Caenorhabditis elegans: one gene and its partners. The protein of the gene in region 2 purifies or fractionates together with the protein of the main gene of each other region. This does not show direct contact. Each region holds a gene or a part of one and is shown on either strand. Other genes may lie near its edges.

Region 1 (7,482 bases), about 10 Mb from region 2:
GTACTCCTCGAGGAGAAGATTTTACTTTTTTTTCAATTAATCTCATTTTTGTAACATGTTTCGTTTTTGAAAAAGATTAAATAGGCTATTTAAACTGTCCAGGTCTCGACACGGATGATTTTTGTTAAATTTGAAAACGTGTGCGCCTTTAAAGATTACTGTAATTTTTAACTTTCGCTGATGTGGAATTTACTTCGATTTTTCATAGTTTTTTGATAAAAATAAATGTATTTATATGAAAACTTTTTTAAAAATGCAGTTTTTAAACCAATTTGGAAAAAATGAAAAAAATCTGAATAAACGAAAGTTTGAAACTACAGTACTCTTTAAAGGCGCGCACCTTTTTGCATTTAACGAAATGTTGTCGTGTTGAGACCAGGTACCGTATTATTACGACAAAATCGGTTAATTTCGCGTCAGGTTAATAGAAGTTTCAGTTTTTTTAGCAGTAAATTATTTAATTTTCACCTAATAATACGATATATATAAATTTATACTCAAGTTGAATGTGCGATTTAAATTTTCAGTCTAAAAAAGTACAAAAAGTACTGTTATCCACGTTCTCCACGGTCATTTGTATATTATACTACAGTCTAAAAATCCTCTGTAAAACTTACTACAATGAGCCGGAAGATCGGAACGCTTCTGACGAACGGTGGCCGAGTTGCTGACGAGGAGCTCTGACTTGAATTTCTTGTCATTCAAGAACACCACCTCATTCCAAGCATCATCAGTTCGTCCCTGTCCCTCTTTGAAGCTCAACAAGGAATCATCCAAAAATTGATTGATATCCTCACACACCGAAGCGGCAAAAAATGCACAAAACGAGATGCACGCAACGCTCACCAGGACACTTGTCCAGGTGGCAATCGCCGCGTTGTCTACAGTCATAGTTCTAGACGACGAAAATGGAAAGAAATGGCAAAGTGACGGTGGACGATGTCTTTATAGAACGAAGATGGGGGAAAGTACAAGAAGCTAAATCTAAAACCGGTTTGTGTGGTTGCATGTATGGATAACGAGGTGTGGAAGCAGTTTGGCATGTTCGATGGCGGTTTTGGATGACAGCGAGATGGAGGAAGAACAGTTGCGCAATGAAACGAAAAAGGATATATTGGATTCGTATATCAAAGGGGAACACGAGAAGGGATTAATCCAATTTATTATGGAAGCGCAGAAAAATGCGCATTATTGAGGTCGAGGTGCAAGCGCGCTCCAGGTGAAAACGCTCCGCCCCTAAACGTTGGGTCTCGTTAGGTGTTGGCGGCAAAATAAAAAAAACAAACGTTTCAAGTTATTATTTTTTAATGTCCAAATTGATTATATACAAGCCAAAACCTAACGAGACCCAAAGTCTGGAGGCGGAGCATTTTCATTATGGCGTTGGAGCACGTTTGCACCTCAAATTCAAAAGTCGCATTTTTCTGTATCCCTTTTTCGAATTTTGTTAGGTTGTTGGAAATTCGGCTAGTTTTCTACACAATTACTTGAAATTAATGGGGATATGCAAAAAGGGGATCTGCGAAAAGAGGAGATACGAAAAGGGGAGCTGGCACTGTGCCAAACGCACAAACCGCTTTTTTATTCTCATTCAGCGCACGACTTTTTTTTTGTATTTTTCGCTAAACAACGCGCGATGCGTAATAACGGAGTGTGGTTATAACAAAGTCGTGCGTTGGATGAGAATAAAAAAGCGTTTTGTGCGTTTGGCACAGTGCCAGCTCCCCTTTTCGTATATCCCTTTTCGCAGATCCCATTTTTGCAGATCCCCTTTTCGTTCTGCTCCCCTTTTCGTGGGGCCTCAAATTAATCACGTGTAACAGCCACATTAACTGAGATCGTGGCGAGACCCGCAGCGTGTGCCTTTAATGTGGTATCAGGTCTCGAAACGAATAAAAATGCGCCTTTAAGAAGTACAGTAGTTTCAACTTTAGTTATTTTCTATGCGTTTTCTTATTTATAAATTATTGTCGAAACTTGTCACTGTATTTTTGACTAAAAACCGCAAAAATTCATTGATCAGGTTTTTCCATGTTTGGCTTCCCTTGCAATCCATACCTTAATCCTTAAACCTCATTTCTCTCGAACGGAGCTAGGAACAAGGGAAAACCTTTTCTCGGGGGAGCGCAGCGACCCGAGAATGGGATGTTTTCCCGTGACAGCGGAGTGAGAGAGACAGTAGCAAACTAAAGGCGCAGGCATTTTCCTCCGGCACGGGTCTCGCCGCGACAAGCGCCCCGCGGGCGCTGCGGCGCCTGTTTCTCCTCATTCTACGTGTGCAATCCTTAAAATCCATACCGACGATCCTCAACTTTTTACATTAAAACCAATATCCTTGTTTCTAAATTCTCAATTAATTTACACTTTTATTGCTGTAAAACAAAACAAAACAAAAAACTCAAAACAACTATTTTCTGAGATCGAAATTAGGACGTCACTTGTCCGGGATGCTTGTCGGGACGATTTTTTCGAACGAGAAATTTCATTTTCCGGTTCATGTCCTCGTTGAAAATCGCCGTTGATGCTTCCATCGACAGTGTTTTTCGTTGCATGTAGGGCTTCTGATAGAATTGAGTGCGGCGAATGATTTTCAGCATTCCTTCTGAATCCATCAATCTGAAATTATTTCAATCTTGAAATTATGTTCTGGGAATTTTTCCAAAGAAAACCTGTTAAGAAGTCCGAAAGCTCCATCGACATCATTGTTCTGCACCATTACTGTTCGAGTTGCGAATCTTGGATGTGAATTCCAAATTCCTTTGAAAAGTTTAATCGCGAACGGCTGAGAAATCGTTCCTCTCCAGGTGAATTGACGTACCATCTTTAAAACAATTATCAAAAAAATTCTAAATGAAAAACCGAATCGAACATTTATCTTTCATGGATGGATAAACCACATTTGACAGCGAATAAAATTGAGAAAAAGCGAAGAGAAAACAAGAATCGATTTATTGTTGTTCTCAAAAGTCTACACAATGGCTCGTGGCATAATATTACTTCTACTGTCTGCGGGCGGCAACACGGGCGTCAATCTCTTCTTGGACTTCTGGGGAGAGAGCATTATCCGGTCTTGGGCGAAGACTATCAAGTCTGAAGAGGACGGAAGTTGGGTATGCCATGAAAGCGACGCAGATGAGTCCGTAAAGGGCAACCTGAAAAAATTGGTGTTATAGTGAATAATATGGATATCTGGATAAATATGTTTTTGAGCAGCTAAATTAAAAGTGAGACAAATTTCAAAACTGTATCTTTTAGTTCAGAAATTAATTTTTCAAATCCATTCAAACGAATGTACAAACTGAAATTTAGTTTTTTTTGGTGAGCTAGTGGTATTTTAAGTTTTACTGCTCACAAGGATAAGTTCAAGACATTTAGCAAATAAAAAATTACCTTCTCGCTGACAGAGGTGAAACGGAGTGGTGGGGTCGAGTCAACTCCCTTGTGAAGCGAGCGACGGATGACATGTTGGCTTCTAGCCAAGGAGAGCACAGCACGGTTCAGCATCCTGCAATAAATCGTTTAAATTTACAGAGTAATTGAGCAAGCATGATAATCCATAGAAAACGAAACAGAGAATACGATTCAGGCGGTTATAAAAACAGAAACTATACGAAAATCGTTAATTCTACACAATGAATCAAAAAATTATTTGATTTTGCTAATGGATGAAGCTTGAAAGCTGAAAAATAGTAAAAATCTGCTTAAAAAATAATCGGCAGGCTGTGAGAGGTTAAAGGCGCAGAGACGGCTGACGGAAAACAAAAACAATCGTTGCGAGACCAGCCGCTTGGCTACGTGCCAAGTGTGAGAATACGGAAGGTGAGAAAGACGGAGACACTGCGAAGCGAGTGAACGGTGAATGCGAGACACCAAAACCCGGAAGTGGACAGGCAGAAATTGATTTTCTCGTTAAAAATTTTTTGTATTCAGAATTGCAATCAATTCAACTAATCAATATTGATATTTTCATCTTAAAGTTTATCTACTAATTAGTATTTAATCCCACAAACTCGTAAATTTCATCGCGACTCACGTTCCCCCGTTTCGCAGTGTCTCTTGTTTCGCATGCTGCGTCTCGTTTCTCTTCTTCTTCACATCTCCTCGAGGCTTACAGTTTTTTCAGCATATATTTCAGTTTTCCATCATTTTTCTGGAGTTTTTTATTGAAAAATGTTGTAACAGAAATAAATTTAAACATTTCGAAGCTATTTTCATGTTATTTTGTCCGTTGTTTCCCTTTCAATCGACTATTCGTTGAAGTTTTCGAGTTTTCCGTTAAAAATCGTTGTTTTCCAGAATCTACACATTCCAAATGGATGGTAATGATATAAATATACAAAAAAACGAGTTTTCTCGAGACCAATCAGCACTTCTAATGATGGATCAGCATTCCGACCATAAGAATCACGAATCGGCAATCGGCGAGCCAGGAATGTCATACACAGCCTCTCAACCGGCTCTTTCCTCTACTGAGCATCAAACGCCATTAGTTTCTGTACGATTTTTTATTTTTCTGCGATTATTCAATGATATTGATTACAGGAAGCAAGCGTCGCAGCTCCTCAAAATCATTTGAATGGCAATTCCCATGAATCGGTTTCCGAAATGGATAGAGTAAGTGTTTTATTCATTTAAAATTTTAAAAAAAGTCTCATCTCAGAATTCGGTTGATTTTGCGATAGAATCAGTGCTCATGAAAGTGAGTGTAACCTCCGATTTCACTGAACTTCCTCCATTTCTCAACGTAATTTTCCAGGCGAGAGCTTACAACAAGATGGGCGCTCCAAAAGATCCGAGGAGAAAGCAGCACAATCCGAAGAGCGAGCCTAAAATCGAGCCACATGTGACAGATTCATCGGATAATCAGGCTGCAATGAGCAACAAGATGGAAGCGGAAGCGCCGAAGATGGAGTCAAATCAGAACTACGTCAGCAACGGATCTGAGGTATGGTTTATTCTGAAATGTGGAAGATTATTTTCATTCAAAAAAAATTTATTTATAAATTTATAAATTTTTGAAAAAATTCAAATTTCCCGTGGCAATATCATACTGAACTTTTAAATGAAGAAAAAAAATTAATTGATAAATATCATCAAATTTTATTCCAGCCTCCATTCCGTTTCGTTTCAATTTCGAATTTCGACGAAATGAAAACAAAAAAGAAAGAAGTTCAAGAAGAATTGAAGCTTGAGGTGGACTCGGACAGTGAAGAAGATGATGTCCCAGAGCAGAAAACTCCAAAGGAATCGGATCGATGTGGAGGATGCGGAAAATTTACTCATGAAGATGATCTAATTGCTCTTGAAGAGGAAAAGAAGAAGGAAAAGGAAAAGCCACTGATGAGCAAGAAGAAATCTCACCATCACAAGAAAAATGACTTCCAATGGATTGGCTGTGACTCTTGCCAAACCTGGTACCATTTTCTGTGCTCAGGCCTCGAGCAATTTGAGTATTACCTGTATGAGAAATTTTTCTGCCCCAAATGCGTTCCACATACCGGACATAGCATTCGTAAGTTTTTTCATCGAATAGCTTGCAATTAAATATATTTATTTATTATTTTAGGATACAAAGTCGTCGCCCCACATCGTTATCGCTGGTACAGTCCGAACGAGAAGCATCTCGGAATTGAAGTTGGCTCAAAAACTTGGATTGAGGATTTCATCACCAGAGAAAATACTGTTCCCTCACCGTAAGGGAATTTTCATTAAAAGATGACTTGGTTGTTATTTGTGAAGACTCGAAATACGCCAAAATGAACGAAGACTTCACAAAAATTTCAAGAAAAAGAGTTAATCTCAGCTGAAAACTCCCATTTTTGCCGTTTTCTCACATTTTTCGTTTATTTGGTACATTCTGAGCTGTCAGTTTACTAAAATTGGCCTTTTTTGATTACCTATTGGCTTCAAATGTACATAAATCAACGAAAAAACTTGAATTTATCACCTATAATAATGTTTTTCGTTCATTCCGGCACATTTTGAGTCTAAACAAGCAAAAAACCCAGACCTCCCTTAAAGATTATTTAAAATTAAATTTGTATTCTTTAGAACCGACGATGAGGTTTGCATTGTCGAAGATGGCTACGAATTCCGCAGAGAATTCGAAAAACTCGGAGGAGCTGACAACTGGGGAAAAGTTTTTATGGTCAAAGACATGGACGGCCTCAATATGACAATGCCGAAGCCTGGATTCGATTTGGAGGATGTTGTGAAAATTATGGGATCGGATTATGAAGTGGACACGATCGATGTCTATAATCAGAGCACCTATTCGATGAAGCTTGATACGTTCAGAAAACTTTTTCGCGACACTAAAAACAGACCACTCTTGTACAATTTTCTGTCCCTTGAATTCTCGGACAATAATGAGTGAGTTTATTAACTGAAAACAATTGAAAAATTAATTAATTAACATTTCCAGGATGAAAGAAATCGCTAAGCCGCCAAGATTTGTCCAGGAAATCTCAATGGTCAACCGCCTGTGGCCTGATGTCAGTGGAGCGGAGTACATTAAACTCCTCCAGAGAGAAGAATATCTTCCAGAAGATCAGCGACCAAAAGTGGAACAGTTTTGTCTCGCAGGAATGGCTGGATCTTATACGGATTTCCACGTGGACTTTGGTGGTAGTAGCGTCTACTATCACATTTTGAAGGTATAATTATTGAAGGAATATAAATGGTTCCGCGGATTGTGAACGTTCTGACCCCGCCAAAATGTTCTCAAATTAACGAATTTCGTTTGAAACTTCTGAAAAAATTCTCAATATTTTTTTGGTTTTTTTGGAGGTTCAAAATTAAAAAAAAAAGACTAAATTTGGCTAAAATCTCCTATTTTCCGAGATTTTAAAAGCATTTTTGAGAAGCCTCATCACGAAATTCGTTGATTTGAGCACATTTAGGATCGTAATGTTCGAAATACCCTTCTTTCAACTGAAATTGGTTTTCTCAAAGCTTATTAACTCTATTTTCAGGGCGAGAAAATCTTCTACATCGCCGCGCCAACGGAGCAGAACTTTGCAGCTTATCAAGCACACGAGACATCTCCGGACACCACTACATGGTTCGGTGACATTGCCAACGGAGCTGTTAAGCGAGTTGTGATCAAGGAAGGTCAGACACTGCTCATCCCGGCTGGTTGGATTCACGCGGTTCTCACTCCAGTCGATTCGCTCGTTTTTGGAGGAAACTTCTTGCATTTGGGAAATCTTGAGATGCAAATGCGCGTGTACCATCTCGAAAACGCGATTCGTAAGGAAATTAGAAGCGAGGAGAAGTTCTACTTTCCGAATTTCGAACTTCTTCATTGGATGTACATGCGAAACGTCTTGCTTGAGAAGATTACAGGTAAGCAATTTACTAGTTTGTATAGCGGTTTTACTAATATTCGCTACATTTCAGAAGCCAATCAGGAAGGTTCTGACATGCGTGAGCAGGAGAAGAATATTTGGACGGCGTCACAAATCATGAAGGCCGAAATGG
Region 2 (3,449 bases):
TCCCTTACAGCTTGCTTCGTCGCATCAATTCCTGTAACATCGAATCCACTTCTGGCCAGTGGAATCGACAAAAGACCCCCTCCGCTTCCAACGTCCACTAATCGAGGAGGAGCCTTCTGATCGCTTTTTCTAACATTATCGACAATCCAAGGAACTCGAATCCTGTTTAATGAGTGAAGTGCGTGGAAGGGACCCAGTTCATCAGCCCATTCTGCAGACAAGTCTCCGAATTTTTCGACCTAAAATAATTTTTCTACAGATAAATAGCTTATTTTTATATGTTTTACCTCTTTTACATCAATAGAAGATACTGAAGCGGCTGAAGTAGTCGAGTGTAGTCGTTGTAGCTTTGCGATGATTCTGGCACTTCGTGAAGGGATCATCTACCAGGAAAAATAAAATTCAATCAAAATAAACAAAAAAAATCGAAAAAGAAATAAAATTAGGTCGTAGAACCTGCCAAATCAATTTTTAAGTCAAAAAATCAGATTTTATTCCTTCTAGTATCAGCCGATTCGATTTAAAATACGAGAATTTACTTTACAATTACACATAAAACACTGAAAAATAAAAAATCTATTCCTTTCCGTTGAGGAATTTGGAGAGGAAGTCCTTTGGCTTGGCTTCGACATTTTCAGCGAACAGGTAGTTGCGCACGTGATCCGGGTTGTAGAATGCGTAACGGATCGATTTCATGTGCTGAAAGTGACAATTAGAGTTTAGAAAATTTAAATTTTATTCAAAAACCTGATGAGTTTCTCCGACAAGTCTGTCAACGACACGAACATCGGTGAGATGTCCGTTCTTTGTGAATTGCTTCTTGATGACAGCACGGAACACGCCGAGCGGCATATCATGAAGTCCGAAATCCCACCAGAACTTTGGAGTGAGACGTTGGAACTCCTTATAAGCGGCGAGAACCGACATGCGTGCCTCGGCGGAATTGTTGGATTTGATTGGAGCGACGGTGCGAACGGCGTGTTGTCCGGCACGGACGACTCTTCCGGCAGTTGCAGACATTATTACGAAAGAGTATCTCCTTTGGTGACACGGGCTTCAAGAAATTCGACCTTTCGTTCCAAAAGGTTAAGCTTGTCGCTGAGAGTCGCTAGTTTTGTGCGGCAAGAGAGCTCTGGAAGAAATCAGATATTTTTTAAAGGAATTAATTTAAAATAATAATTTTTCTACAAACCAAAGCTGGACAAGAAGTTAGCGATGTTCTTGATGTTATCGGCAATAATCTGAAAGTTAGTACGGGTTAGTGTGGGAGATATGAATTCACACATGAATATTTGTTGTAAAATTGTATAAAATCACAACCTACTGAAGTGAAAAGCTATTTCAACACCGCAGTTAAAAATATTCAAAAATTTCAACAACCATTTTTAATCAATTTTCATTCACATTTCAATCGATTTCCATCATTTTTTTCCGTCTACTAACCTGCTCAAACTCGCGATTATCCCAGTCGTCCTTTAGTTGTTGTTGAACGGCTTCCGAAGCGTGCATTCAACGCTGAAAAGCTGAAAAACGGTGAAGGATGGTCGCCGGTGTGCCGCGTGCTGCGTAAATCGACACACTCGATCGCGGCGAAACCCGTCCTCGAAACTGCGTGCGCCTTTGATGTCAGCGGTCGTTCGATTGGCTCCTTGTCGCACTGATTTGGCTTTGGATTTCGTAATTTTCGACGGATTTTCGGGATTTTCTATCGATTTTTTGAGAATTTTCAAGGAAATAGACTGATTATTCATTAGTTTTTTCAAAAATTCCATACATTCATTGAGAATGGGTTAGACAAACGTAAATTCAGATTTTAGAAAATCGAGCAAACTGAGCAAAAAACTGTGTCCGCTTGAGAAATTTGTAAAAATTAAGACTATATTCACTGAAAACTCTTATTGCAATCCGATATTATCCAATGAAACTATCTGCTTTTAGCAATTCTATTGTTTTGAAACGTTTCTCTCAAAATTTTATAGACATCACGTGTTTTGTTGACTATTCTCGATGATTCATTGGTTTTGATTTCGTGAAAGTTACTGCAAAATAAATTTTGCGATAAGGAAAATCAATATTTCTACTTGTTTTTTTTTCAACAGCAAAAGCGAGCTTGCTCCAAAATTAATAGCGGTTTTCCGTTAAACCCTTCTGTTTTTCTTTGTGCTCTCTCACACACACACCCTTTTCAATCGAATTGCACTTTTCAGGAATTTCCTCATTCAACATCAATATTCAAGATGTTGGCTATGGTGAATAAGGTTCTCGACTGGATTCGCAGTCTTTTTTGGAAAGAGGAGATGGAGTTGACACTTGTTGGGCTCCAAAACTCTGGAAAAACGACATTTGTCAATGTTATTGCTGTTAGTTTTTCTGGAAAATAAATTTAAATTCAATGTTCTTCACTTTAGAGCGGCCAATTCACAGAAGATATGATCCCAACAGTCGGATTCAATATGCGGAAGATCACCAAAGGCAACGTGACGATCAAATTATGGGATATCGGGGGCCAGCCACGGTTCCGCTCGATGTGGGAACGATATTGCCGCGGTGTCAACGCCATCGTCTTCATGGTGGACGCTGCCGACGAGGAGAAGCTCGAAGCATCCAGAAATGAGCTTATGCAGCTGTTGGACAAGCCACAGCTCGACGCTATTCCAGTTTTGGTGCTCGGAAACAAGAAGGATTTGCCTGGAGCACTTGATGAGCGGCAATTGATCGAAAGAATGAATCTGTCATCAATCCAGAATCGCGAGATTTGCTGCTATTCTATTTCATGCAAAGAGAAGGAGAATATTGGTAATTTTTTAAATCTTTGAACCATTCTAAACTGAATTGTTTTCCAGATATCACCCTCCAATGGCTCATCGATCACTCGAAAGCTCAACGCTAAACTAGGCACAATCCACGACTCAATCTACTCGAAAATTTACAATTCACACCGCAAAATATATTAAATCAAACCTTTTTTTTTTGAAAATTCTGTAGATATTATTTATTTGAATCCCCTCCCCTCCATATTCAACTAATCTCTCTCGTCTTTTTCATCACAATTGTAGTCAATTTCCCCAACCCATTCGCTCCCAGTTTTATTTCTTTGGTAGCTTTCACTGTGGGATGTTCATCATCCCCATTCAAAAGTTGTGAAATTTCCCTCCAATTTTATGTACATGTTGTGTATCACTTTTTTGGACATTTTGCAACACCACTGCAACCATTCTCATTATTTTTTACAAATGTGCTTAATTCCTTAACTCTTCTTCACTCTTTTTCATAAATTGAAAATTTACTAAGGCATTTAGTTAACGTGTTGCTCTAGCATTGCAGCCTAATTTTTAAAATTCTAAAGTTGAATGAAAAAAAAGGAAATCAATTATTCCTTCAGTTTCAAAATTCGAAGCAAGCGATGGAATGTGTGAATTGTGATTGTACAGTCAAAACGATGGACAATT
Region 3 (8,176 bases), on a different chromosome or scaffold from region 2:
AATCGAGAAACATTGCGAAAAACTGTTTAAAGTATCGATTTTCTTCAATATCAGCAACATACAATCCTTTAAAATTATTATTTTTTGTAAATTCGATAAAAATTCATTTATTTTTCACAATTTCTGCCCGAAAATTGCCGAAATAACCAGCGTTTCTATAACTAAGAAAGTGTCGTCAATTAAAATGCCGCGTCCGCAAAATGTCGTATGAAACTTTTCGCTGAGTATCAAACGTTGAATATTCAGTCAGCTAAATTTTACTACGGTAGAGATTTTACAGCCACGTACGGTTCGCCGGGCCGTGGTGGCCAGTGCGATTTATATTTTTTGATAATATTGCGCAACATATTTGACGCGCAAAATATTTCTTAGCGAAAACTATAGTAATTCTTTAAATGACTACTGTAGTGCTGGTGACAATTTACGGAAATAATGGATTAATCGATAATACGAAAAAAAAAACTAAAGAAAATTGAATATCGATGTCACAATTTTCATTCCAAAATAGAGCCCGTAAATCGACACAATCACTACTGTTCTCATTGAAAGAGTTACTGTGGGTTTCGCTACGAGATATTCATCGCGCCAAATATGTTGCACAATCCGCAATCTCAGAATTAAGTGTTCCGGTTACGATAGCTGAAGTTGCCAGAGCTCGAAGACGTTAATCTGGTGACCTTACCAAGTCAACACATTAAAATAGTGGTTTTTTTGAATTTTCAGAAAAAAAAAGTAGCCAAAACATTCTGGAAAAAGAGAAGCAAAACTACTTCGAAGAGAAAAATAAAAAAAAGCTAGGATTCCATAAAGAGTTGTAAAAACCTGGATGATCCTGAAACCTGAAAAAAATCCTAAAACTTATTGAAATGACTTCCAATTCCATGGTTTTCGTTGGTTTATGTACATATACCATTCATCTTAACATTGCTTCAATGCAGTTGCAGTTTCCAAAAATGAATGATTCAAATGTTTAAATAGGAAACAATATATTTTAAAAGTTTACAGCTTTATTTAAAAATCATTAACCAAAAAATATTATGAATAAGTACTGTCTTTAGCCAGTGACTCGTGCCAGGAAATTGAACCCGTAAGACCCTCATCGTCAACTGTTGATCTCCTTCACCAAACGTAGAGGCGACAGCACCTATCTTGCCAGAATGATCGCTCCATATGATGACCATAGGCGCAATCATTCTCTCAAGATAATATAGAAGGAGGGTAAATGCATTAAAAATTTTAAAAACATTGATTGAAAATAGTATTCCAAAACGGCAGCAATAATAGAAACTTTAGAAACTGAATCAATTCCAGTGTATAGAAAAACTTACAATTTAAACATTTTATAAATTGAAATTTTTTTTTGGAATATTGTTGCCAAAAAATGTGCCAAGATAACCAAATATCATAGTAGAACGTTTCAAAAAATTTGAAACTAATTTTGTAACCCTTTTTGGAATTCGCCGATTGTTTCAAATAAAAATTGTAAGGATTCGAGCATGCGAAATTACTACAGTTTTCTAAAAATGTGGCTAAAACTCAATAACCTGCCATTTTTATTGCCAATAAAAAATTTTCAAAACATGTTACTATGATATTTGGACATCTTGGTGGCATATATGTGGTTTTTAACAGTTTCCCCACTGCTACTCCACCTTTAAGTCCTGGGAACATTTCCGGCAAATCGGCAAATTGCCGGAACTGAAATTTCTGGCAAATCGGCAACTTACCGGAATTGAAAATTTCCGGCAAATCGGCAAACCCGCAAATTTGCCGATTTGCCGGAATTGAAATTTCCGGCAAATCGGCAAACCTGCAAATTGCCGATTTGCCGGAAAAACGGCACTTTGCCGAAATTTAAATTTCCGGCAAATCGGCAAACCTGCAAATAGCCGATATGCCGGAAAAACGGCACTTTGCCGGAACTGAATTTTCTGGCAAATCGGCAAATTGCCGAAATTGAAATTTCCGGCAAATCGAAAAACCTGCAAATTGCTGATTTGCCGGAAAAACGGCACTTTGCCGAAATTTAAATTTCCGGCAAATTGGCAAACCTGCAAATAGCCGATTTGTCGTAAAAACGGCACTTTGCCGGAACTGAAATTTCCGGCAAATCGGCAAACCTGCAAATTGCCGTTTTGCCGGAAAAACGGCACTTTGCCGAAATGTAAATTTCCGGCAAATCGGCAATCCTGCAAATTGCCGGAAAAACGGCACTTTGCCGAAATTTAAATTTCCGGCAAATCGGCAAACCTGCAAATTGCCGGAAAAACGGGACTTTGCCGGAATTGAAATTTCTGGCAAATCGGCAAACCTGCAAATTGCCGGAAAAAAGGCACTTTGCCGGAATTTAAATTTCCGGCAAATCGGCAAACCTGCGAATTGCCTGAATTGAAATCTCCGGCAAATTGGCAAATTGCCGAGTTGCCGGAATTAAAATTGCCGGTGAATTGCCGCGTGGAAAAAGTAGCTGAAAAATGTTTAAAATGGCAGGACCTGATAATATCGCATGTGAATTTTTTTATTCAGAGATCGTGTGTCAAAAAAAACTAACATCAACCTAACCAACACGAGATCGGCTACTAATCAGTAAGTGATAACTTTTGAAACTTATTTTAATTGAAAAAAAAAACCATTTTCAAGTTTTCATATTCTAATGCTTATAGAAGAGACAAGTATCAAGAATCGAGGAAGCGATCTGCTAATTATGTATCAATTCAAAGCTCACCGGATCTCCCCATCAAGAAAAATCTACTAACGTCAATCGCGCAACAAGAAATAAGAAGCCATCGAAGACATTGGGACAGTACATGGACGGCGAAGAGTTACGAGAGGATTTAAAAGAAAAAGGGAAAACTATGGATAACGATCTGAAAAAAAGTTTGAAGGAAGCACCTAGTGAGAGTTACTGTTACGTTCTAATAAACCCATACGTTCTGGACAAAGACGTGAGGGAAGTAGATCTGGCTACGTTCCTCTCGTCAATATTCTACGTGGGCAAAGGAAAAGGGGAAAGAGCAATGGCCTACTTCAAGGATGCTTGCGGGAACATTCAAGGAAGCCGCAAGCTTACTACAATTGACCAGGCTTGGAACAAAAAAGGATTTGTTTATAAACACATAATTTGTACGTTTAGATAAGAAAAATCTATAAATTGAATTGCTTTTTAGGGAGACCAATTATCGAAAATCTAGCACTCGCCAGGGAAGCTGCTATGATATTTTTTTTCAAAAATTTGGCTGGAAAATCGAACTTTACTAACAAATACGTAAGTTAAATTAATTGGCTAAAAAAGATTCTAATATAGTAAAATTTTCAGAACGGCAGTTTCAAAGGAGAGTCGGCGTTTTGGAGCAGGGAAGAGAAATGCAACTACGGCGTATACCTGCTAGAAACGTAAGTTTGAAAACAAAATATCAATAATTTAACGTCTAAATTTTAGAATACACCGTTCAATCCAAACCAATGGCTGTGAGACTGTCAAAAAAGAAGATGTTGCTCCAAGAGCCGCGATCCAACAAAGTCCTCGACTCTAAACTTTTAATTTAATTGTTATTTTTAAATTCCCTCATTCACATTACCCAACTTCACTATGCTACTGACTATTTAAAATTGCTCAAAATTCAAATATTCCACTTGAATAAACCTTATTATGAGAAATTAATATTTGACCTTTTTTATTTGAAAATAAACTGTTCCCGCCGTTTTCTTTATTTTTTTGCATTGTCGTCATATCGCGCGCAAAGTCCGCAGTGACACCCGCGTGGTGTTTGCGTACCCCGCAATTGTCATCCTCACAATTTTCGAACGCGACTCCCGATTTCTTCGTTTTTTGCTGTAAATTTCGGATATTTCCGGTCAAAAATTTATTAAAATATCTGGATAATGGTAATTATCAATGTCGTATTGTGTTTTTATCGATTTTCTCAGTTGTTTCCACGAAATTTCTGTTAATTTTCACCGAAATCTGTTTCAGAGAGGAATGGAGCGATTCCTGCGACTCGGAGGTCTTGGTGGAAACCTTGGAACGGTAATTGCATTCTGTTTCGATAGAAAATCATCTAAAATTTCGAATATTTCCAGTTCGGAGCCAATCCACAGGACTCGAATCAAGTCGACACCTCGGAAACCGTCTACATTTCTTCGCTGGCGTTGCTGAAGATGCTCAAACACGGAAGAGCCGGAGTTCCCATGGAAGTGATGGGGCTGATGCTTGGAGAATTCGTCGACGACTACACCGTCAATGTGATCGACGTTTTCGCTATGCCACAGTCTGGAACCGTGAGTTTTCGTCAAAAATTGAATTTTTAAAAAAGATAATTTATTATTTTCATTACAGGGAGTCTCAGTCGAAGCGGTCGATCCAGTATTCCAGGCGAAGATGCTCGACATGCTCAAACAGACCGGAAGACCCGAGATGGTCGTCGGATGGTACCATTCCCATCCAGGATTCGGATGTTGGCTCTCCGGCGTCGACATCAACACTCAGCAGTCGTTTGAAGCGCTTTCCGACAGAGCTGTCGCCGTTGTCGTCGACCCGATTCAATCTGTGAAGGGAAAGGTTGTGATCGACGCGTTCCGTACGATCAACCCACAATCGATGGCTTTAAATCAAGAACCACGTCAAACTACCAGTAATTTGGGTCATTTGCAGAAGCCGAGCATTCAGGTTGGGGAAATTATCGGTTTTTAGTGAACATTTCAATAATTTTCGGTTTTTTTTTCAGGCCCTAATCCACGGACTCAATCGTCACTACTACTCCATCCCAATCGCCTACAGAACCCACGACCTTGAACAGAAGATGCTCTTGAATCTTAACAAGCTCTCATGGATGGACGCAGTCAGCGTCGAAAACTACTCAAAATGCGGTGAACAGAACAAGGAGCACCTCAAGGCGATGCTCAAGCTCGCCAAGAACTACAAGAAGGCGTTGGAGGACGAGAAGAACATGACGGATCAGGAGCTCGCGATCAAGAACGTCGGAAAGATGGATCCGAAGCGGCATATTGCTGATGAAGTGAGCAAGATGCTCAACGACAATATTGTGCAAAGTTTGGCCGGTATGATGGCGACGACTTCATTGCAATAATTTTTAAATCAATACTCATTTGCTTATTTTTTTATTATTTTCTCAAAAATTCCCAATTTCCTCGTTCTCTCCCCGTCTTTTTGTGTATTTTTCCCCATAATTTATTTTGAAATCATCCCAGTTCGGTGTTGGAAAACATGAATCTTCCCCGCCTTTAATCGATTTATTGTTTATGCGTTAATTTAGTCCATTTCGCTAACAACTGAGGCAGCAGCATCACATTCAGATTGTTCATATCGACCGATGGTGTGTAGTCGTTGATGAGGAGATATGGAACTTCGAGGATCGGATTCGGTCGGGTGCTCATCGTCTTTTGAGCAGCTTCGCGCTGGAGTTGAACGCCACGTGGACCATCGTAGCATTGTCTGAAATTGTGAAAGATACGGTCTCGACACGACAATCTTTTTTTTTAATTCAAAAAAGTTTCGCCTTTAAAGATTACTGTAGTTTCACTTTTAGGAATTTTCTATAAATTTTTCATTTGATTTTCACCAAAACATAATAAAAAAATATTAAAAATCGATAGAAATTCCAAAAAGTGAAATTACAGTAGTCTTTAAAAGCGCACAGCTTTCCGCGTTTAACACAATTTTGTCGTGTCGAGACCGGGTACCCCGTTTTTTAGCTCAAGATCGGGAAAACTTTGAACATTTTATTCGAAAATTTGCAGAAAACTAGTTTAATTATTATTATCATTATTAGTTTTAGGAAATTATTATTAGAAAACTAGTTTAAAAAACAGTAAACGCGCTCCACGGCCAATCGAAAGCGCTCCGCCTCCGAACCATGGGTCTCGTTAGGAATTCAGCGGCAATACCGAAAAAAATGGAGCGCGTTTACATTTTTTAAATTCATTTTTCAAATGAATTTCCGAGTTTATTTACCAAAATACTGGAAGATAATTAGTTTTTTTCGAAAAAATGCAGAAAAATCGTATTTAAAAGGATAATAAAAGCGTGTGGCAAAATTGCAAAAAGAAAATCGGCAAAGTGCCGGTTTGCCGATTTGCCGGAAATTTTCGATTCCGGAAATTTGCCGGAAATTTTCAATTCCGGTAAGTTGGCGGTTTGCCGATTTGCCGGAAATTTTCAATTCCGGTAAGTTGCCAATTTGCCGGAAAATTAAATTCCGGCAATTTGCCGGTTTGCAGATTTGCCGGAAATTTGCAATTCCGACATTTTGCCGGAAATTGCAATTCCGACAATTTGCCGGAAATTTTCAATGCCGGCAATATGCCCGTTTGCCGAATGCCGGAAGTTTTCGATTCCGGTAATTTGTCAATTTGCCGGATAATTTAAACTCCGGAATTTTGCCGATTTTCCGGCCCCCGATTTGCCGGAAATTTTCAATGCCGGCAAGTTGCCGGTTTACCGATTTGCCGTAAAAGTAGTTTTCGGAATAAATACCTAATCTGTCGATATTGGCTCCGAATGAACGCGGAGCACGTCTGCATCGCGTGTTCGACTCCATAGTGTTGAATGTTACGTTCGAAACAGACGATGAAGGGCAACGCTCCTTTGACCTGAAATCAATCACTTTTGATAAATAGAGAGAGAGATTGATCGGCGCTCATCTGTGTCTGTGTTTTGAGCCCCCCATCAATTGCTAACCTTCAAAATATCAATGACACAAGATTGAAGGCGATTCGCGTCGCACTCTTTTTGTCCGTGATTGCACGAGAATGAGCCGTCCTGTGCAAATTTGACGATTTTCAGAATTTTCAGAACAAAAAGAAATTACCCGCATTATCCTAGAGTTTCCCCATGGCACTAGCTCAAGAATCAACTGGCCCTGGAACTGATTGAACACACTGCCCAACTGATTTGCGATGAATCTGAACTTTATAAATTCCAGTCAAATCGATTTTCCTATGGCCTACTTTTGACAATATGGGCACAAGGCCTCATAGATCAAGGTGATCTTGATCGGCTGCCGCCGGTGACGGAGACCATCGCATTGCCGTTGGACCCCACACTGTTGGGCAGACTGCGGGCTGTCACACCTGGAAAGATTTTTTTCTGGATTTTGCTAATTTGGGGTCTTGGCACGATCGAAATTTTTTTGAGCAGAGCACAGCATGAGCCTAAGTCTAAGCCTAAGCTGAGCTTAAGCCAAAGCCTAAGCCTCAGCTTAAGCCTATGCCTCAACCTAAGCTTTACTCTAAGCCTAAGCTTAAGCCCCAGTCTAAGCCCCAGCCTAAGCCTATGCCTAAGCCTAAGCCTAAGCCTATTTCATTTTGTTAAAAGCATTTTCCCCCGCATTTTCCTCTGAAAAAACAACAAAAAGCACTTACCACAAGTCTGGTGGAATGTCACAAATCTGATGCGTCGGCTGATTGAACACAGAAGCGTGTGGAACCGACGGATACGCCGCCTGATAGGCTTTTATCGCATCTGGAAATAGCTTTGCTGGAATATTTATATTTTTTGACCTTGTGTCGATTTACGCAGATTGTGCACTCCTGGAGGAGATGGAGATCAAAAGATTTTGGCTTTTTCGGTCAAATACTTTGTTTGATTTTCCACGGGGAGTACACTAGATTCGTAAATCCACACACATACAGTCGCTGATATCTTCCATATTCAAAAATATTTTTTGGAAGTATGACGTCAACGGAATTGCACATGTGACGTCATCATTCCGATGAAGAGACTACCGTAGTGCGTATTCTTACTTGGACTAGGATAATTATTGTAGGGGTACTGTTGTTGCTGCTGCTGCTGAGACGCCTGTTTTTGTTGGTGAGCATGTTGCTGCTGTTGCTGCTGCTGATGGTAGTGTTGCTGGTGAGCATTGTAATTATGATTCTGGTAGTTTTGCGGGTACGATGGCTGATGCTGGCGGTATTGGGATTCTGTATTCTGAAAATGGGGAAAAAAGTTGCGCGTCAAATATGGTGTATTGTGGTGGGTTGCCCTCGCTGACCACCCGGAAGCAAAACACGTGTGTCTGGAAGGCCGGTGCCATCGTCCTAAAGTCCCATTACAACGCGAAACACTTTTCATTCTTATTAGTTCCTGTCCACCGCCTTACTCTCAATTTCTCTCAAAAGTTTAGTGCAGTTAAATAAATGAGCTTCTTGCCACCTC

What was found. Proteins that work in one complex are often made in the same cells at the same time.
Region 1: the proteins of Y57G11C.1147 (region 2) and F29B9.11 fractionate together in Caenorhabditis elegans (co-fractionation; one large-scale study listed by BioGRID). This does not show direct contact.
Region 3: the proteins of Y57G11C.1147 (region 2) and rpn-11 fractionate together in Caenorhabditis elegans (co-fractionation; one large-scale study listed by BioGRID). This does not show direct contact.

The regions. Positions count from the first base shown.
Region 1 is NC_003282.8:4,656,697-4,664,178, forward strand, and holds F29B9.11 (Cytochrome c oxidase polypeptide VIIc), read right to left. Parts: upstream 3,506-7,482; 5' UTR 3,505-3,505; coding exon 3,391-3,504; intron 3,153-3,390; coding exon 3,000-3,152; 3' UTR 2,935-2,999; downstream 1-2,934. Other genes in the region: col-111 (Nematode cuticle collagen N-terminal domain-containing protein), read right to left, coding at 618-891; mrps-21 (Mitochondrial Ribosomal Protein, Small), read right to left, coding at 2,427-2,616, 2,670-2,821; jmjd-1.2 (JmjC domain-containing protein), read left to right, coding at 4,313-4,495, 4,543-4,614, 4,661-4,945, 5,110-5,512, 5,567-5,693, 6,052-6,372, 6,425-6,656, 6,975-7,347 and 1 more.
Region 2 is NC_003282.8:14,795,942-14,799,390, forward strand, and holds Y57G11C.1147 (Protein BRICK1), read right to left. Parts: upstream 1,574-3,449; 5' UTR 1,510-1,573; coding exon 1,444-1,509; intron 1,242-1,443; coding exon 1,193-1,241; intron 1,133-1,192; coding exon 1,023-1,132; 3' UTR 1,021-1,022; coding exon of another isoform or gene 748-1,020; intron 700-747; coding exon of another isoform or gene 577-699; 3' UTR 501-576; downstream 1-500. Other genes in the region: coq-3 (Ubiquinone biosynthesis O-methyltransferase, mitochondrial), read right to left, coding at 9-239, 288-383; nuo-3 (NADH dehydrogenase [ubiquinone] 1 alpha subcomplex subunit 6), read right to left, coding at 577-699, 748-1,020; arl-8 (ADP-ribosylation factor-like protein 8B), read left to right, coding at 2,238-2,360, 2,409-2,796, 2,844-2,890; Y57G11C.14 (uncharacterized protein), read left to right, coding at 3,404-3,449.
Region 3 is NC_003280.10:4,040,128-4,048,303, reverse strand, and holds rpn-11 (26S proteasome non-ATPase regulatory subunit 14), read left to right. Parts: upstream 1-3,973; 5' UTR 3,974-3,979; coding exon 3,980-4,027; intron 4,028-4,080; coding exon 4,081-4,278; intron 4,279-4,336; coding exon 4,337-4,666; intron 4,667-4,724; coding exon 4,725-5,087; 3' UTR 5,088-5,242; downstream 5,243-8,176. Other genes in the region: K07D4.2 (GIY-YIG domain-containing protein), read left to right, coding at 2,808-3,123, 3,168-3,265, 3,317-3,393, 3,440-3,533; pqn-48 (Prion-like-(Q/N-rich)-domain-bearing protein), read right to left, coding at 5,251-5,452, 6,494-6,609, 6,698-6,778, 6,828-6,921, 6,967-7,089, 7,381-7,480, 7,762-7,948. UniProt on the Caenorhabditis elegans protein: Metalloprotease component of the 26S proteasome that specifically cleaves 'Lys-63'-linked polyubiquitin chains. The 26S proteasome is involved in the ATP-dependent degradation of ubiquitinated proteins.